Linked DNA regions of Caenorhabditis elegans. The protein of the gene in region 1 interacts with the protein of each later gene in a pairwise test. Each region holds a gene or a part of one and is shown on either strand. Other genes may lie near its edges.

Region 1 (3,929 bases):
CACAAATCGTCTCTTCCGCGCGTCCCGCCCCATTGGGTCCCGGATGTCTGTCACTCTCTAACTATCTACACTCTCTGTACCGGTAATAGGACACTTTGCAAACATGCATACAAACACGCCAATGACCCTTTTCTAATTAAAAACGCAAAACCACTTTTCAAGAGTCGACCGATCGGAAAAGGTGGCGATCGACAACACACTCCTCACAACATGATGACGAAAACCTTGAAAAGGAATAGAAAAAAACAAGGACGAATGGTGAGCGGCTCGTTTAGGTTGAATGCATTTGAAAAATATGAAAACGAGAGTCGATATGGGAATTCTCAATAAAACATTTGAAAGTCCGAATAGGAGAGGTTCACAAACCAAATGAGGGGAGAAACGAACCGTCTGTTGGTTTTTTTTGTTTCGAACACACAGTTGTGTTTGTCCTTTGCATTAGCTGGTATGACGAGAACTTTGAACTTTGGCGTTGAATAATTGCTACTGCAACACGTATTGTACTGGTGTATTTTAATCGCACAATTACTCTGAAACATTTTTTATTCTTAGAAAACAAATAAATAGAAATCGAAGTACAAAAAATTGGGATTTTCAGGAATGTGCAAGCTTTTTCAGTTCTTTCGCTTTTTTGTTGCAGGTCTCTCAAAAACTGGTCTGGATCCTCCGGCTCTTTTCGTGGAGAATTGAGAATTCAACTGATTCGTTGATGCCCAAACACCTTGATGATCTGTTGTATCTTCTTCTGTCAAGTGCGTATACTTGGTTCGAGATGCTTTTCCAAAGTTTTTGACCTGAAATAAATAATTTAGTTCAATTATCACTATAATAAGTTACGAGTATTTACCTGCATAACTTTCGGCAGAATAGTTTTATCAAATTGATCATCGTTGGTAGCTTCGGCAAAGTTTCTCTTGAGTACTTCATCTTCTTCATCCAAGAAGAAAGCTCCACGATGGAAATATTTTTGAAGGAACTTGTATTTTCCTTTGTCCTGTTTGTTAGTGATAACCTTTGGATTTAAACGAAGATATTTGAGTCGTTCTTCCTCGGACATTGCGTGAATCTTGTCAAGTTCTGCCTTCTCGCGTGCGGCTTCTTCACGTTCGTCACGGTTTCTCTGCAAAAAAAAATTGGATATCGGATATTATAGTGAGAATTTTTTTGAGAAATTTCTATGTCAATTTATTAAAAAACTCAAAAAAAAAACTTCGAAGATCTACATTCAAAATTTTGCAGCAAAAATTTACCTTCAATCGTTTCATTTCTCTGAGCTTCCACGCCTCATATGCCATATTTTCAGTTTCATCGTCGGTTAGAACAGATGACAAATCAACACGATCTTCTGTTTTTCTTTTCTCAGCAGCTTCTTCCTCTTGAAGAACCTTTTCAACTAATTTTGCACTTTCTCTCTTCCGTTCTTCAGCTCTTTTTTCGTCTTCGATCTTTTTCAGAATTTCTTTTTCTTTCTCCTTCTCGGCTTCTTGCAAAGTGATACGATCCTTCTTTCTTGTGAAAATAGGCTTCAATCTTGGAACTGGATCGTCATCTTCATCTGAATCTTCCTCTTCACTACTTTCTTCTTCTTCCTCCTCTTCAACATCATCTTCTTCAAGTTCTTCTTTAATTTCTCGTTTTATTTCTTCCTCTCTTTTAATAGCTCTATCTCTGAGCATTTGACGTCTTCTTTCAAAATCTTCTTCATCTGATTCAGCACTGTCTTCTTGTTCTTCATCTTTTTCTCTGTTATTTTCATGTAATTCCAATCTTCTCATTCTGGCTCTTTCTCTTCTCTCTTCTTGTTTCTCTTCGTCTTCTTCAGATTCCTGTTCATTTTCAGATGATTCGTCCTCTACTTTTCCAAGAACTTCTGGCTTCTCCACCTGTCGTCGTCTACCATAATCTTCGTGTCTTCTGTGGCGTCTTCTATCTTCTTCATCACTACTTTCACGACGTCTACGTCTTCTTCGATCATCATCTCGATCTGTCTCTCGGTCTGATTCACTGCTGTCACTGTCGTAGTTACGAGCATATTCTGGTCTGAAAATCAATGTTTTAAAGACTAATTCAACCATTAAACGAAAAAAAACTTACGCCTTTCCAGCCACATATCTTGAAACTTTCACTTTCTGCATAACAGTTTGTCCTTTCTCATTTTTGATTGGAATGGCTCCAAGAGTCGGAAGACGCGAATGTCCGAAACTTCGATTATCGCTTTCGCGTTGTTCAAATCCAGGTACATAATCTCCCATTCTGAAAGTTATTTTTAAAATTAACCCTTTTTAATTTCGGCAAAAAATAGTCAGAAACAATAAAGAGTAAATATGTAAAATTTTTAATTGAATTTTTCGAAAAAAATAATAAGCATTAAATTGCTCGTAAGTTATAATGCATAAAGAGTACCTCACGTGGTGTATGCAGACCCAACAGCACATCTTACGACAGTCTCGTTTACGAAAATATTTTCAAATATCAATTTTGGCCAAATTTTCTTGCTAAACGCTCATTTTTTTCTTTTTTTTTTACTCAAAACGTTTTTCAGAATGTTCCGTAAACCAAAGGCAAAAGGTGCTATTCGCCAACGGAAATCTGACGGATGGGATGAACCTGATGCTGAAAACCAACAAGTAGTCTCGGCTATCGAAGTGAGTTTTAATGAATTTCAACATTCTTTTTAATTTAATTTTTATTTAAAGGTCAAACAACCTGCTGTGCCTCGTCCAGCCATGAGTTTCGATGCTGATGAAGGAGCTGATTCGACGTTCAAACTTAAGAAAGACAAGAAAAAAGTTGAAGAATTGAAACGTCAACACAAACTAGAGGAGGAAGCTGAAAAATTATATAAGGAAGAGAAAATTCGTAAGGAAGCGCTTGATAAAATTGTGAAAAAGGAGAAACTCTCAAAAGAAGACAAAAAGACGAAAAATGAGCGGCATAAATACCTTGACAAATATCGTGACAAATCTGCTAAGCACATTTCGAATTCGGAGAGCTACGAATACGAAGAAAATTTGGATATTGATGCAGAAGCAATTTCATCAGTTTCCAATAAATTCAATTCTGCTTTTGAAGGTATTCCCGACTCTCGTGCCGTTTTCGAAGCAAAAAAACGCCGAGAACGAGCCAGAAGAGAGGGAAATCAAGACGGATATATTCCTTTGGATGACACACAAAAACTTAAATCTAAAAGTGAACGAAATCGATTGATTCGAGAAGATGAGAATGATGATTCGGATGAAGAGTGTACAAATAAATTCTATTCGGCTCGTGAGCTACTTCGAACAGAAGAAGATCGTCGTAGAGAAGAACAAGAAGGATTTTTAGAACGAGAAAATGGAGATATTGATGAAGCTGAACGAATAAAAGGTGATGATGATAGTGAAAATGAGGAATGGGAAAAACAACAAATTCGGAAAGCTGTTAGTCGGAGAGAGGTGAGCTTTTTGTGGTAATAGAGATCGTGAATCTGAAAATTTAAAAATTATAGATAGGCCAACTGCGAACAGAAAAACGAAATACTTCTAAATTATTTGGGCATACAGTTCCTGTTGAAGATGACACAGCAATGGATATGGATATTGATCTTGATATGGATGTTCAAGTAATTGGAAAACCGGAATTTACTGGTATATTATTTTGTTTGAAGACAAATAATTTTAATTAATTTCAGGACCATCAAATACCGGAGGAGTTGTAAAAATTGAAGATATTCTTGCTAAATTAAAATTGCGGATTCAAGAACGAGATGAAGCATTGAATTTCAGAAAAGAAGAAAAACGAAAATTGGAGCAAAATATTGAAGAAAACAAATCAATGATTGCAAAGGTAACAAGTATTTCAATAATTATATATATATATCATTTTTTAATAATTTCAGATTGAAATGGAGCTTCCTAACCAAAGTACCAAATACACAATGTATCAAGAAT
Region 2 (4,845 bases), on another chromosome or scaffold:
GAAGACTTGAGAGCAGGGAAATGCTGTAAAATGAATGGAATTTATTGGGAATGCTTTCATGTTTACATAAACGAGAATGCATTCTTTAAGTGGATCAATTTGAAAAATGGAACACATCAATGGAATTTAGAAATTTGTTGTGTTTCTCTTAGAAAGTAATTTTGTTAGAAACCTCTCCAAATGGGAAAAACTCAAATATCATAGTAAATCTTTTCAAAAAACTTGTCTGAATTTTTAATTCAAATTGTGTTGTGAAAACTTAGTTTGCACCTATCATAATTTCAAGTGTGGCAGATTTTTGTTTCTATGAGTTTTTATACTTTAATTGCCTTTTTTTTTATTTGCATATATTGCTCTATTTCAACATTCTGAGGACGAACCAATGCTCGAAATTACTTAGAATGCCCATATTTTTGGAACATTTCGTAAATTACCAAAACATTGAATGTAAGTTTTTTAAAAATTGAAAAAAGGGCTTTTCTGAATCAACTTCTCTATTTTGAATTCACATTTAAAATTGAAAGAATATTTCAAGTTTCTAGAATTGAAAAGTAGATGGCACTTCATAAGAAAAGAAAGAGGAACAGGGAACAATCTGCCAACATTTTTGATGAATTGCTCCCAAACAAAGAGTGAACGACAGCATTTTGATGGACAAAGAGAGAGTCAAAGGGGTCAAGAAAGTGAACATACTCTACCATGACAAGGCTGTTCTCTTCTGGTGATTCAAAACTGAAAGGTTTGAAGCAATTCGAAACTGACGGAAAGGACACGCTCCGGTAAAAACGATGAATGAACATCAGAAATGGAACACACATGGCAACAACACGGACCGATGAACACCTGGCTAGCCACGAGGATTTGCCGGATTTTCGAGGATTTTAGTTAGTTCATAAACAAATTGGGGTTTGGATGGTGTTAATTAGAAATTTTTTGATAGTTTTTTGTAGAGAGGGCTTGAAAACGTTATTGAAAATCCATGTGAGCTATATAAAGTTTTTTCAACTTTTTGATAGATGATTTTCTGGTTAATGTTTAATCTATGACTTGTATATTTTTGTTGTTTTTTCTATTTTTTCTATTTTTCACAGTACAAAATTATTTTTAAAAAATCTATTTAGAGATTCAGGAGAAATGATATCAATTTTGGCAAACTTTCATAACTTTTAGACGCCATTGCGAAATTTTACTAATGGTTATTGAAAAATAATCGTTTCGCGGACTTGAAGTTATGTAGCTCTTTCTTTCTTGTCATTCTTGAAAAAAATTCACCAATTTTCTCCGTTTTTCTTCCAACTTACTTAGTATCTTGGTTACCTTTTCCTAGACCTCCCCGACTTTCAAACTTAATTAGACCACACTTGCAACTATCTTTAAAAATTCAGAGAATTTCACTTTCATGGCCAAGAGCAGCAATAAAAGTCAGAAAAGTGAAAGAAAAGAGAAATAGAGTGCAACACAGAAACAAGAATGGACAAGAGAACGGACAACCCATTGTTTCAGAATGTCGTTCCTTTTCTCTGTGTCTCTTTTGAATTCATACACATGTTCCATGAAACATGCTCGCGCACAGATTGAAATGAACAGAAAGAGACGAGGAAGAGTGCGAATGATTTATTCATCAATGCTCTGGTATGTTCAGAGCTTTGCAACAAATGAAAAAGAGCACAAATGGAACATTTCTGAATAATATTGATTCGTAACTTAACTTTGCTTCATAACTTTAGAACATCTTGAAAAAATTGCACAAAAAAGAGTTTTGTCTGTCGTTTGGGAAGTAGAGTTGCGTTGTGGAGACATTATTTTTCCTAGGGCTGAGTAAGGCTGAGTAATCTAGTATCCTACCAAATAATTTAGATAATTTTTTAAAAAGGCTGCGGTTTCTTTGGAGAAATTACATGAAATAAAAAGTTCTGAACACTTCAACACACATTCAAAAGTTTTGTTACATTCCGATCTAAGCTATAAGTCATATTTTTGGAAAACCAACAAAAAATTCTGAACGAAAATCCAGTAGGTTTCAAGGAAAACCGTACAGCCAACAAGAAAAGATCATAGAAAATCACATCTGGATGGCCTTCCGTTCTATTTCTTTTGCCGGATTGTCACTAAATCATCTGCGAATGATAAATGACCGTAACCAAAGAAAACTAATCAAGTGTATAGAATACGGGAAATGAGGTCATTGGAAAAAAGGCCTAACTGGAAATTAGGCTGAAGCTACTGCTAATACTAGTGTTACGAAACACGACAAGAAAAAGTAATCAATTCAGAAGCATCGCCAATAAACCAACAAATAGAACATATAATCAAGTTATCTGAATGCACGAGATAGGCGTAAAGGACGTACGAACATGCCAGCTTAGAGATTATAGGAAATTGTGAGTCACAGACAAAAACGCAAGTTGAGATAGCAATCTTTTGCTCGATGAGGGTGAAGGTCCGGTCAACTGATGACCACTAAAGATAGACACAACATACTACCAAAGCTTTATAAAAACGAATAATTGGAAAAATAGGAAAATTTGTTAGCGATAAGAAAAATTTGAATTATCCAAATGTGAATGTAAAGATAGCCTGCCAAATTTGAAAAAAAAACGCATCTTTGTGAACATTTTACAAAACTACAATAAAGATGGTTTAGCTTTTGTCAAAACATACCAACAAAAAAAACACTATAATTTTCGAAACACTAAATGTTTTATGATTTTTGGAAAGTTTTATTTTTCCGTTCTTCAAACTATTCAGTGACTCGATTTTTTTCCAAACCTTTTTTCTATAAAATAAAAAACTTTACCCATTTTCCATTTAACATCTAAACGTTTCAAATTGGCTAAGATCAAACGGCAAACACTTGAAAAGTGTGCATAAGGTAATTACGAGAAACCATTTGGGAGTCAAGTGTTTACGGACCACTGACATTTCTTTGGTTACCACAATAAGAACTCACCACTTTTCACCAAAAAGTTGATCTTCTTCGTCACTGTCAACTTCCAGATCGCATTCCTCTTCGCAACTGTCCATATTGGCTGAAATTTTGGAATTCAATCTTGAATAAATGTAACAAAAAGAAAATGGATCTTCTGAGACACAAAGTTTACCGGAAATGTACATGTAGCTTTGTTTTAGAGTTGAAACTTGAGAAGTCGTATAAGAAAGAAGGAAAAAATTGGAAGGGAAAGGAAAACTTTAAGGGGTCAAAAACCTTTTTTAAAGAAAAAAAACTGAAAAAATTCGTCAAATCAAAAAATCTAGCATCAAAAATTGCTCGTTTTTCGACTTTTAGAAATATCCAAAGTATTTGCCCAAACTTGCGCAAATAATATTTGTATACTAAATTCTGAATATCTAGTTTTCAATCAGCAGGAAACAGACTTTTATTGAATTTTTTTCATAGATTTCTCTAGTTTATTGTCACAATAAATCCACTTTTTCTAGTCTTAAAAATATGTATTGTATGTAGAACAATCTTTTTATTCTCAAGTTAAAAAATTATGAACCCTTGCAATCTAGAAAAAATTCAAAACACGACTTGTCAAGCTAATCCAAATAAAACAATAACAAAAACAAAATTGAGATTTCCGCTCTCTAAATACCGTATTTTCCTATGTTTGAACCACACTACTCTACATTGACGGCTTATATTTCAGTGGTTTAAGCTCAACGAAAAACTGTTCAACTATACAAATATAGCAAATTATTTGACACCTACTTTTACAGTTTAAAATGTCTCAATAAAATATAAGAAGACCGAGATATTTATGAGTTGTTAAAGTAGAGCAAAGTGATGCAAGGCCAAATTTGAGTGTGTGGTCTAAAGTTTTTAAGACAGAAGGAAAACCCAATTGACCACTAAATAATCTACACCAAATTTTCTTCCGTCTCCTCGAAAAAACAACAACATCTGCATAAAAAAGTGATTGACCTTCCCTCTGTCGGGATCGTTGCTAACAAAGTGCAAAAGCGATGATACAAGTCAAGGGATACCCCCCTCCCCCGCACAACAACAAGAAAGAATAAAAAAGAAGGCGGGGACAGCAAAGAGGGACACATATATCTCTTCCGCGCGGAAAGAAAGCGGCAAAAACGTACTAATGCGCGAGAAAAGAAGCAGAAGAAGCATATAATGACCTTTTTATGATAAAGTCTCGTGGGACAACCGGACCATCAATATGGTATTGAGTATAGAATATGCAAATTTTGGTTGAATAGAAAAACGAAGAGAAAATGGAACAGAAGGAGAGTTCAGAGTGCGCAAATAATGGAAGGAACGCGCGTAATCTGGAAGAGTTGACATAAAAAATAAGAGGATTATTCATAATTGAGTCGCTCGGCACGATACGGTAAGGAAACTATAATGAAGAAGATTACAAGACAATCAAAACTAGAACTTTTAAAAAAGTTTTCAGAAAAACTTGGTAGCAGTAAGGTAGTTATAGGTAAGTAAGGTATAGAGCACATTCTGAAGTTGGAAATTTCAAGTTTTTTTTTTTTTGAAAAAAAAGTGAAGTTTCTGCTGAAACCATAGAAAACTATAGTTCAAATTTCCCGAAAATAATTACAGTTAGCGTCGCCAAGTTTAGCCAAGATAAATGAGTATTTTATGCAAGAATTTTTGTAAAACTTCCAACCGAAAAGCTATTTGTACTTCAAAAATGTTTATTCAACTCACCCTCCATTATGTAGATGAGTTGATGGTTTTTCACAATTGGAATGAACACATAGTAAGACTACTCTACAGATAGAGTTGAATAAAAATGTTCTGCTTTTCAACTATTTAGTCATGATCGTTTAAGACAAAGGACAAAAGCAAGTTTTGAAAATTCGACCAATAAGACTGATTTA
Region 3 (3,366 bases), 5.3 Mb from region 1:
GTAGTTCTATCAGATTTTTGAATTCAACACCCGGAATTAATCGAAAAATGAATTTTCAGTTGAAAACTGGCCAATGTCTTGCTGGGAAACAATTAAAACATGAGAATTCCTATATTTGTGGCGGAAGATATCTCATAGCAAGACTTCTACCGTATCCTTGAAAAAGAATCACAGCACTTTGGAAGATAATTTCAGGAGCGCGCTTTATCTTAGCAGAATTAACACAAAAATGGACGACTCCCGTTTAGATGGAACGACTCTTTATAAAAAGGTCACACGAGAGACGCCTTCGGTTGAGTCATACAACTATCAGCCAAGCAAAGAACCGAAAAGCTTTGAAAGCTGCGAAGCCTGCTATCCGCCCCGCAGGCGAAGAACGGATCGACCAAGTACCCTGAGTGGCGTGCCAGGACTCGGAGTAAGCATTCAAAAAAATTAACAACGACAAATGGGTGCAAATATAATTGGTGAGACGAATGGAGTGAACAACAAAAAAAAAAGATTTAAGTTTAACAACAATTTCATTAGGAAACAATAACGAGCAGCAGTATTTACTTCTTGCTGGTCTTCTTGACCTCGGACTCGGAGTGATGGGAAGCCGAAGAGCGTCTGCGGGCGATCTTGGCGTCGTGCTCTTCCTTGGAGTACTTGGCGAGGAGCTTGTGGTAGGCAGCGGCGTCATCGCGCATCTTGATCTTCTGGTTGCGCTTCTGGCGGAGAAGGTACTTCTTTCTGGCGATACGAGCTGGGGTGATGAGACGCTGGATCTTTGGTGCGATGGTCTTGGTGACTCCTGGAAATTTAGACAGTTAAAAACTAAATTTAAAGAGAATATTGAAGAAACTCACCATCTGGGAAGGTCTTGTCGTGGGTGATGACGTATTTGGTGACATCGTCGTGCTTGGTCAAGTTGAAGAGCTTGCGGATCTTGGAGGCTCTCTTTGGTCCGAGCTTGCGTGGGAGAACGGAGTCGGTGAGTCCTTCGATCTCTCCATCTCCCTTCTTCACGATGACGAGGGAAAGAGCGGACATGTTGGCGTCGACGATGCATCCACGGACGGACTTTCTCTTGCGCTCTCCGTTCTTGCGCTCACGGTAGCAGGATTGTCCCTTCTTCAAGAGAAGACGAACACGTCCGTTGGTGAGAATTCCTTGCTTCATTGGGAATCCCTGCTTGTCGTTTCCTCCTCCGATTCTGACGACATATCCCTGGAAAAAAGCAACTCGTTTGAAAGAGCCGAGAATCGGTTCAAAAACAAAAACTGGGACTCTCAATGTATGTCTAGTCACAGCCATTTCAGCGAAGAAAAAGCACGTGAAACAATGAGGATTTGACACAGAAACATCACTTCGTTTCTGTGTTTTTGGGTGACTCGCTAACCTTCCACTCGTCACCGAGAGCATCGATGGCGACCTCCTGGGACATGCGCTTCTCGAAGAAGAGGCGAAGCTTCTTCTCCTCATCGACCTCGAACGACTTTTGGAGCCCGGTGGCTGGGTAGGCGAAGTTAAGTCTCATCGCTCAAATATTATTACCTGCAAGAAGAAAAACATTGGAAATGAGTTAACGGGGTGAGAAAAGGAGAAACTGAAGCGAAAAACGAAAACATGGGCCTAAAACTAATAAATTTGATTTTCCAAGCAAATATCCTGCGAAATGTGGAGGAAAACTATCAGGAAAACATTTAAAATTTTGAAAATTCGAAAAAAAAACCGAAAAGTTCGCCTAAAAATGAGAAATTCACCCAAAAATTCGAGGGAAAAATGAAAAAAGGAGCGAAAACTTTTTAGGCCAACGACAATTCCAGTTTAAAGGCGCACGCCCTTCGTGGCGAGACCCATCCCCCATCCGCCTCGTCGTCTGCTGCACCCCACCTTTCCCACACTATCTCGTCCGATGGATTTTATTTTTTTCCAAACTTTTCCGATTTTCCGACTCGATTTTCGGTTTTTCTTCGATTTCCGCCGAAAATTTGCTGTTTTTCTTGATTATCGATTTTTTATCCGCGTTTTAAGTGCCAAAACTTTGCTCTCACACTCAAATTGACTGATTTTCGAATTTTTTCAGATGCTTTGCACCCATATAAAGGCGGAAGATTGTGTGGAGCGTGTGCCCAAGGGGATGTTCCGCAAGAAACAGGACATGGAGGACAATAATTTGTTCTTGGAGGGAAATTCGAATCGTGGGAAGGTGGTGAAGTGAGTTTTTTTGAGAAATTTGGCTAGAAAATGGCTAAAAAAAGCTAAAAATAGCTTTAAAAACTCGTTTTTCTTCCAGAAACCAGGAAATAATTAAAACCTTCTGCGACGAATGCGATAATTGCAATAAATCGCTGATGTGCCTCACTTGCGGACGAATTCTGTGCGGAAGAAACGACTCGGGCCACGCTTTGCATCATTTTGAAGAAACCAGCCACCCAGTCGTCATTGATTGCATTTCTTTCGAGCTTTACTGCTATTCCTGTGATGATGAAGTGTCACTGGACTTTGAGCCATCTTTATATGGAGTTCTAAAATCGCTGAAGCTCCTTTTCGACCGGGAAGACGTTATGGAGGGAGGCGACGGGCCGACTATACCGGCACAGCCTTTTCAGTGCGTATTTTTCGAGGAAAATGGACTAAAAATTGGTTAAAAACCGATATTTTATCGATAAACCCTGCTAGAAATCGAATTTTCCACTGAAAAACGTTACAGTTCTCGTAAAAATCGTATTTCCCATGAAAAGTCCGATAAATTGCGATTTTCAGTGAAAAAAACGCCAATTTTCCTCAGAAATTCCATTTTTCTCTCTGGAATTTCTGAAAATTTTGATTTTTCAGTCAAAAACGTTCGTTTTCTCATAAAAATTTATTTTTCTTAAAAAAAAAAATGAAAATCCTAATTTTCATCGAAGAAACTTTAATTTTCCATTGGGAAATCATTTTTTCCGCAAAAACTTGAACAGAACCCTATTTTCCTCACGAGAATCACTAAAATTCCGATTTTCAGGTGAAAAAACATCAAAAAATCGTATTTCGCCCTAAGAATCCGAAAAATTCCGATTTTTCGGCAGAAACTCATCAATTTCTGCGATAAAATTCATTTTTCCCACTAAAAAGCCCCTAAATTGTGATTTTTCAGGGGAAAAAACATCAAAAATCCATTTTTCCTCCTAAAAAGCCAAAAAAATCCGATCTTTCAGCACAAAAAACTTCAAAATCCGTTTTTGCACCTAAACAGCCCAAAAATTCCGAATTTTTCAACGTTAACACTTTAAATTTATTTTAGAAAATCAGTTTTCACAATGAAAAAGCCCAAAACTTCCGATTTTTCAGCACAAAAAACATCAAAAAATTCATTTAGCCCACGAAAAATCCGATTTTTCC
Region 4 (3,642 bases), on another chromosome or scaffold:
AGCCAACAGTTGTTGCTTGCACAGTTGCCAATTGCAGATGCAGATTTGTATCGACTCCTTCGAAATGTGTGCATTGTGTGAAGATCGGGATAAGTGCCCAAGGAGATTTTCATTGGCAGGATACACTTGATGTGGATCATGAAAAGAAAGCATCTCCAATCGGGAATTATTTGAAAAAGGATAAAATGAAATCTGTGATGTGTGCTTTCGATACTGCTATTCTCGACTGTCCTCCCATATCAAAAAAGTAAGATATTTAAAAATAATAAAGTTTAAGTACCTAATTTATTTCAGGGTCCGCTCAAAACTTCATTCCTCTTTTCCCTCCTATAATGGATTCGTCAACAGTGTAGCTTCTGAAATGCTCAATGACAGTGTAATCCTCGTGGAGATTGACAAAGAAAAAATAGAACCATTGGAAGAAACTGATTCAGAGCAAGGAGAAGTTCCTGACAACGCGGAGGCACTGAATCGGATTCTTGAAAAACTGGTTGCCGCCACGGCTAAAAACTCACTGATTATGATGATCTTGTCTAATTCCACTAAAAACGTGCTCTATGTAAGAGTCAAATAATCTTTTTTTTTAATATTAAGTTTCTCATAAAATGAATAACAAATAAAATTTGGTTTAATTTAAACTTCAATTTCCAACAAAACAACAACATTGATAACAAAGAAACGAAACAGTGAAATCATAAAATTTACTTGGCGGCTTTACTGAGCTTTGCCTTCTTTTTCAGCTTTTCCAAATCGATCGGCGCGTCGTTCGGTCGCTTCTTGTTCTGTTTTTCTCGCGGAGCTTCCTCTTTTGCTTGATACACTTTCAACTTTTGCTTCTGTTTTTCCACAGTCTTCACCGCCGATGCTTCCAATTTCGCTCTGAAAATTTCATAAATTTATTAAATTCCGTTACGATTTTTGAATTAAGAATACTTACCTCTTTTTGTTCATCTTTCTTTCGTTCTCGCGAATAAAATATTCTCCGCTTTCAATCTGCTTGTCAATCTTGCTCATAACTGGAGCCGGTGGGAACGGAGTGAACTCCTTCTTGGGCTTCATCTTGTAAGCCTTCTTCTTCTTTGCTTCCTTTGTTGTAGTTGCAGATTGAACCTTCTTTCGGTAGTTTGGAAGATAAGCATCCCAGTTTGCATCTTTCAATTCATCATTTTTAGATAATTCCCTTTTGATCATCATAGTTTTAATATTGTAGATTGGGTGAATATTTTTCATACAATCAGTGACGATTTGACTGAAATTTTTTATGATTTCAAAGAGAGTCAGAATATATTTTCAACTCACTTGATTTGTTTCAGTCCAGCAAGCGGTCCAACAGCACAAACAGTTCCTCCTTGAACACAAACATAGCACTGTGTCAGCAATTCGAGAGCTTTCAAGGTAGCACCATCGTTTCCAATTAGCCGAGCTCTACGCTTCACAAATCGTTCTTTATTGCGAACCATTGAAGAGATTTTGATAATCTCGCAATAGATTTCATCTTCGAGAACACGAATCGCTTGTTCATAAGGCACACTACGGGATAGAAGCTTGATGACCTCGCGAGCCTTCATGATTATATAAGGATCCCAAGTTTTACGAGTAGTTCGGACACACATTGTTCCCTCGAGGAGATCCAAATCTGCTTTCAGGAAATGCTCTCCTAGAGCTTTTTCGATGAGTGGCCAACTTTCTTTAATATACTTTTCGCGATATTTGGGGAATAATGAAGAAAATGATGACTCTTGGAGTAGACCATTCGGATTGTCTTCCTGAAAAATGTATTCATTTTCTTCAGGTTCATACTACAAGAGAAAAATTACATGGAACCAACTTTTTTCATTGCTTAACATTTAATTTTTCAGAAAATATTTAGTGTTTTGGAGATTTTAAAATTAGTTTTAAGTAAATTTAGCAGGTAACTTCAAAAATCGAAATATATTTATTTAGAATACAATATCAAAAACATACCTTGCTGAAAGTGTTAATATCCCACCACTCTGCATCTTTCTGTGGTCCGAACATTTTTGCAGTCTCTTTCCGCGTCTTCTTCTCTTCCTCCGGTTCACCAGCCCATTCGGGCTCGTATTCTCCACGAGGTTTAGCTTTTTTGTCAACGTTGCTCATCTTAAATTATTTTTAATTAATATTTAATGTTTTATACAAAATAAAATAAAGTTATATACAAAAAAAATCAGAAGAAATTGATTAAAAATGAAGAAAAAGGGAACAAAAACTGAGAGAGGAATTCGTGCGGCAGCATTGCATAAAAAGTGCGCGGGGGTTGCGACTCCTGCTTCACGCTCCGCCCACTGGTTTGTCGATTAATTTTTCTGTGCGGAATTTACACTGCTTCTGCTGGCTTTTCTTATGTTTTAACTGTTTTTGTGTTTTATATAATTCTGAAAGTTAAATCTTGTTTCAATTTGCGTCTATTTTACCTGTTTTTTTAAACAAATAAGTGGCAGGTAATGAACGGCGCAACAACTGAAGCAGAGGACCATAGCGTATACTTGCCTTCTGCGCATCCGACTGATCAGATTGACGTAATTTTTTATTTTGTTGCGTTCAATTTCATTATAATCTTGTTCAGCCAATCGAGGGAACATCATCGGAGAATAATGATTCGCCAATTGATGAAAGCTCGAATGATTCGACTACTTCTTCGTTGTCAGTACTAAAGCCCACTGATCCTGTAAAATGCGATACGTGTTCAGTATTGGCTACGCTATCGTTTTTCAAGCAGCGCCAGGTTGGTTGTACAGGATAAGCTAAAACAAATTGGAAAAATTTCAGCCAGCGAGTGGCGGCAAAACAGAGGATATCTTCAAAAGCTATTGCAGTAATTGCAAAACTTTTTTTGGAATGTCCTCCAAGAAAGTCAGAGGAGTATTTTCGTTTGTGAATGAAGGTAGAGACACGATACTTTTATAGAAAATTTAAAATTACAATTTCAGATGGAAGAATATTGTCCAATAGTGAAAGACTTGAATTCCTTCGTTCTCAGAAAAGAGCCAGATCCGCTTCACGCTCAAATAGTGTATGTCAAGTACCTGAAAAAGGTTCGGGAGTTTCCAATTCTGACACGTCGACTAATGGGAATTCGGATGAGAAGGACGAAGAAATTGCTAAAGAAGATGATGAAGGCATCGATGAGGATGATGGTGATGAGGAAACACCTGAACAAAAAACCACCATCCCAAAAAAGAAACCCAAAAATGCGTTTGGTGGAAAATCAAAGAAAAACAATTGGGGAACTCGGAAGAAGAGCAAAGCCAAAGTCTCTCAAGTTCAGTCCACGAGTTCCGAGAAAATCAGTAAAAAGGACCAAGAAAATGCTCGTAAGTACGAGTTTTCGAATATTGTTGCCAAATATTTTATTTTCAGGTCCGAGAGAAACTAAATTAAGAAATACGCCAACTGTCACACCAATCGACAAAAAGAGAGGTCGACCCATAAAAATCTCACCAAGAGCTGCGACGATTTCGAGTGTATCAACAAAGCCAACACATACTTCTGAATTTTTCAAAAGTTCTCCTATAACGTCACATGTGTCCAAAACTGCGGAAACTTGCTGCCAAACCGATACGGATCTCTTATTGAAATCAACATATCTCAAGGAATGCTTCAATACAACTGTCAGAGATG

Evidence for each region.
Region 2: the proteins of mfap-1 (region 1) and mig-10 interact in a two-hybrid assay, tested with the Caenorhabditis elegans proteins (one study listed by BioGRID).
Region 3: the proteins of mfap-1 (region 1) and rps-6 interact in a two-hybrid assay, tested with the Caenorhabditis elegans proteins (one study listed by BioGRID).
Region 4: the proteins of mfap-1 (region 1) and krr-1 interact in a two-hybrid assay, tested with the Caenorhabditis elegans proteins (one study listed by BioGRID).

What each region holds. Positions count from the first base shown.
Region 1 is NC_003279.8:8,637,984-8,641,912, forward strand, and holds mfap-1 (Microfibrillar-associated protein 1), read right to left. Parts: upstream 2,254-3,929; 5' UTR 2,253-2,253; coding exon 2,095-2,252; intron 2,041-2,094; coding exon 1,251-2,040; intron 1,121-1,250; coding exon 848-1,120; intron 795-847; coding exon 615-794; 3' UTR 531-614; downstream 1-530. Other genes in the region: mog-7 (GCF C-terminal domain-containing protein), read left to right, coding at 2,544-2,645, 2,697-3,434, 3,488-3,626, 3,671-3,825, 3,878-3,929. UniProt on the Caenorhabditis elegans protein: Involved in pre-mRNA splicing.
Region 2 is NC_003281.10:8,277,287-8,282,131, reverse strand, and holds the start of mig-10 (Abnormal cell migration protein 10), read right to left. Parts: upstream 3,025-4,845; coding exon 2,951-3,024; intron 2,488-2,950; exon of another isoform or gene 2,396-2,487; intron 1,694-2,395; exon of another isoform or gene 1,557-1,693; intron 24-1,556; coding exon 1-23. UniProt on the Caenorhabditis elegans protein: Required cell non-autonomously for proper development of the excretory canals and for the long-range anterior-posterior migrations of embryonic neurons CAN, ALM and HSN.
Region 3 is NC_003279.8:13,950,331-13,953,696, reverse strand, and holds rps-6 (Small ribosomal subunit protein eS6), read right to left. Parts: upstream 1,537-3,366; 5' UTR 1,520-1,536; coding exon 1,382-1,519; intron 1,210-1,381; coding exon 849-1,209; intron 794-848; coding exon 552-793; 3' UTR 503-551; downstream 1-502. Other genes in the region: usp-3 (Ubiquitin carboxyl-terminal hydrolase), read left to right, coding at 2,069-2,199, 2,279-2,593.
Region 4 is NC_003283.11:7,229,669-7,233,310, reverse strand, and holds krr-1 (KRR1 small subunit processome component), read right to left. Parts: upstream 2,122-3,642; coding exon 1,966-2,121; intron 1,767-1,965; coding exon 1,300-1,766; intron 1,250-1,299; coding exon 938-1,249; intron 880-937; coding exon 702-879; 3' UTR 575-701; downstream 1-574. Other genes in the region: C05C8.5 (Exonuclease domain-containing protein), read left to right, coding at 1-247, 295-574; gei-6 (GEX Interacting protein), read left to right, coding at 2,466-2,540, 2,588-2,746, 2,791-2,905, 2,952-3,335, 3,382-3,642.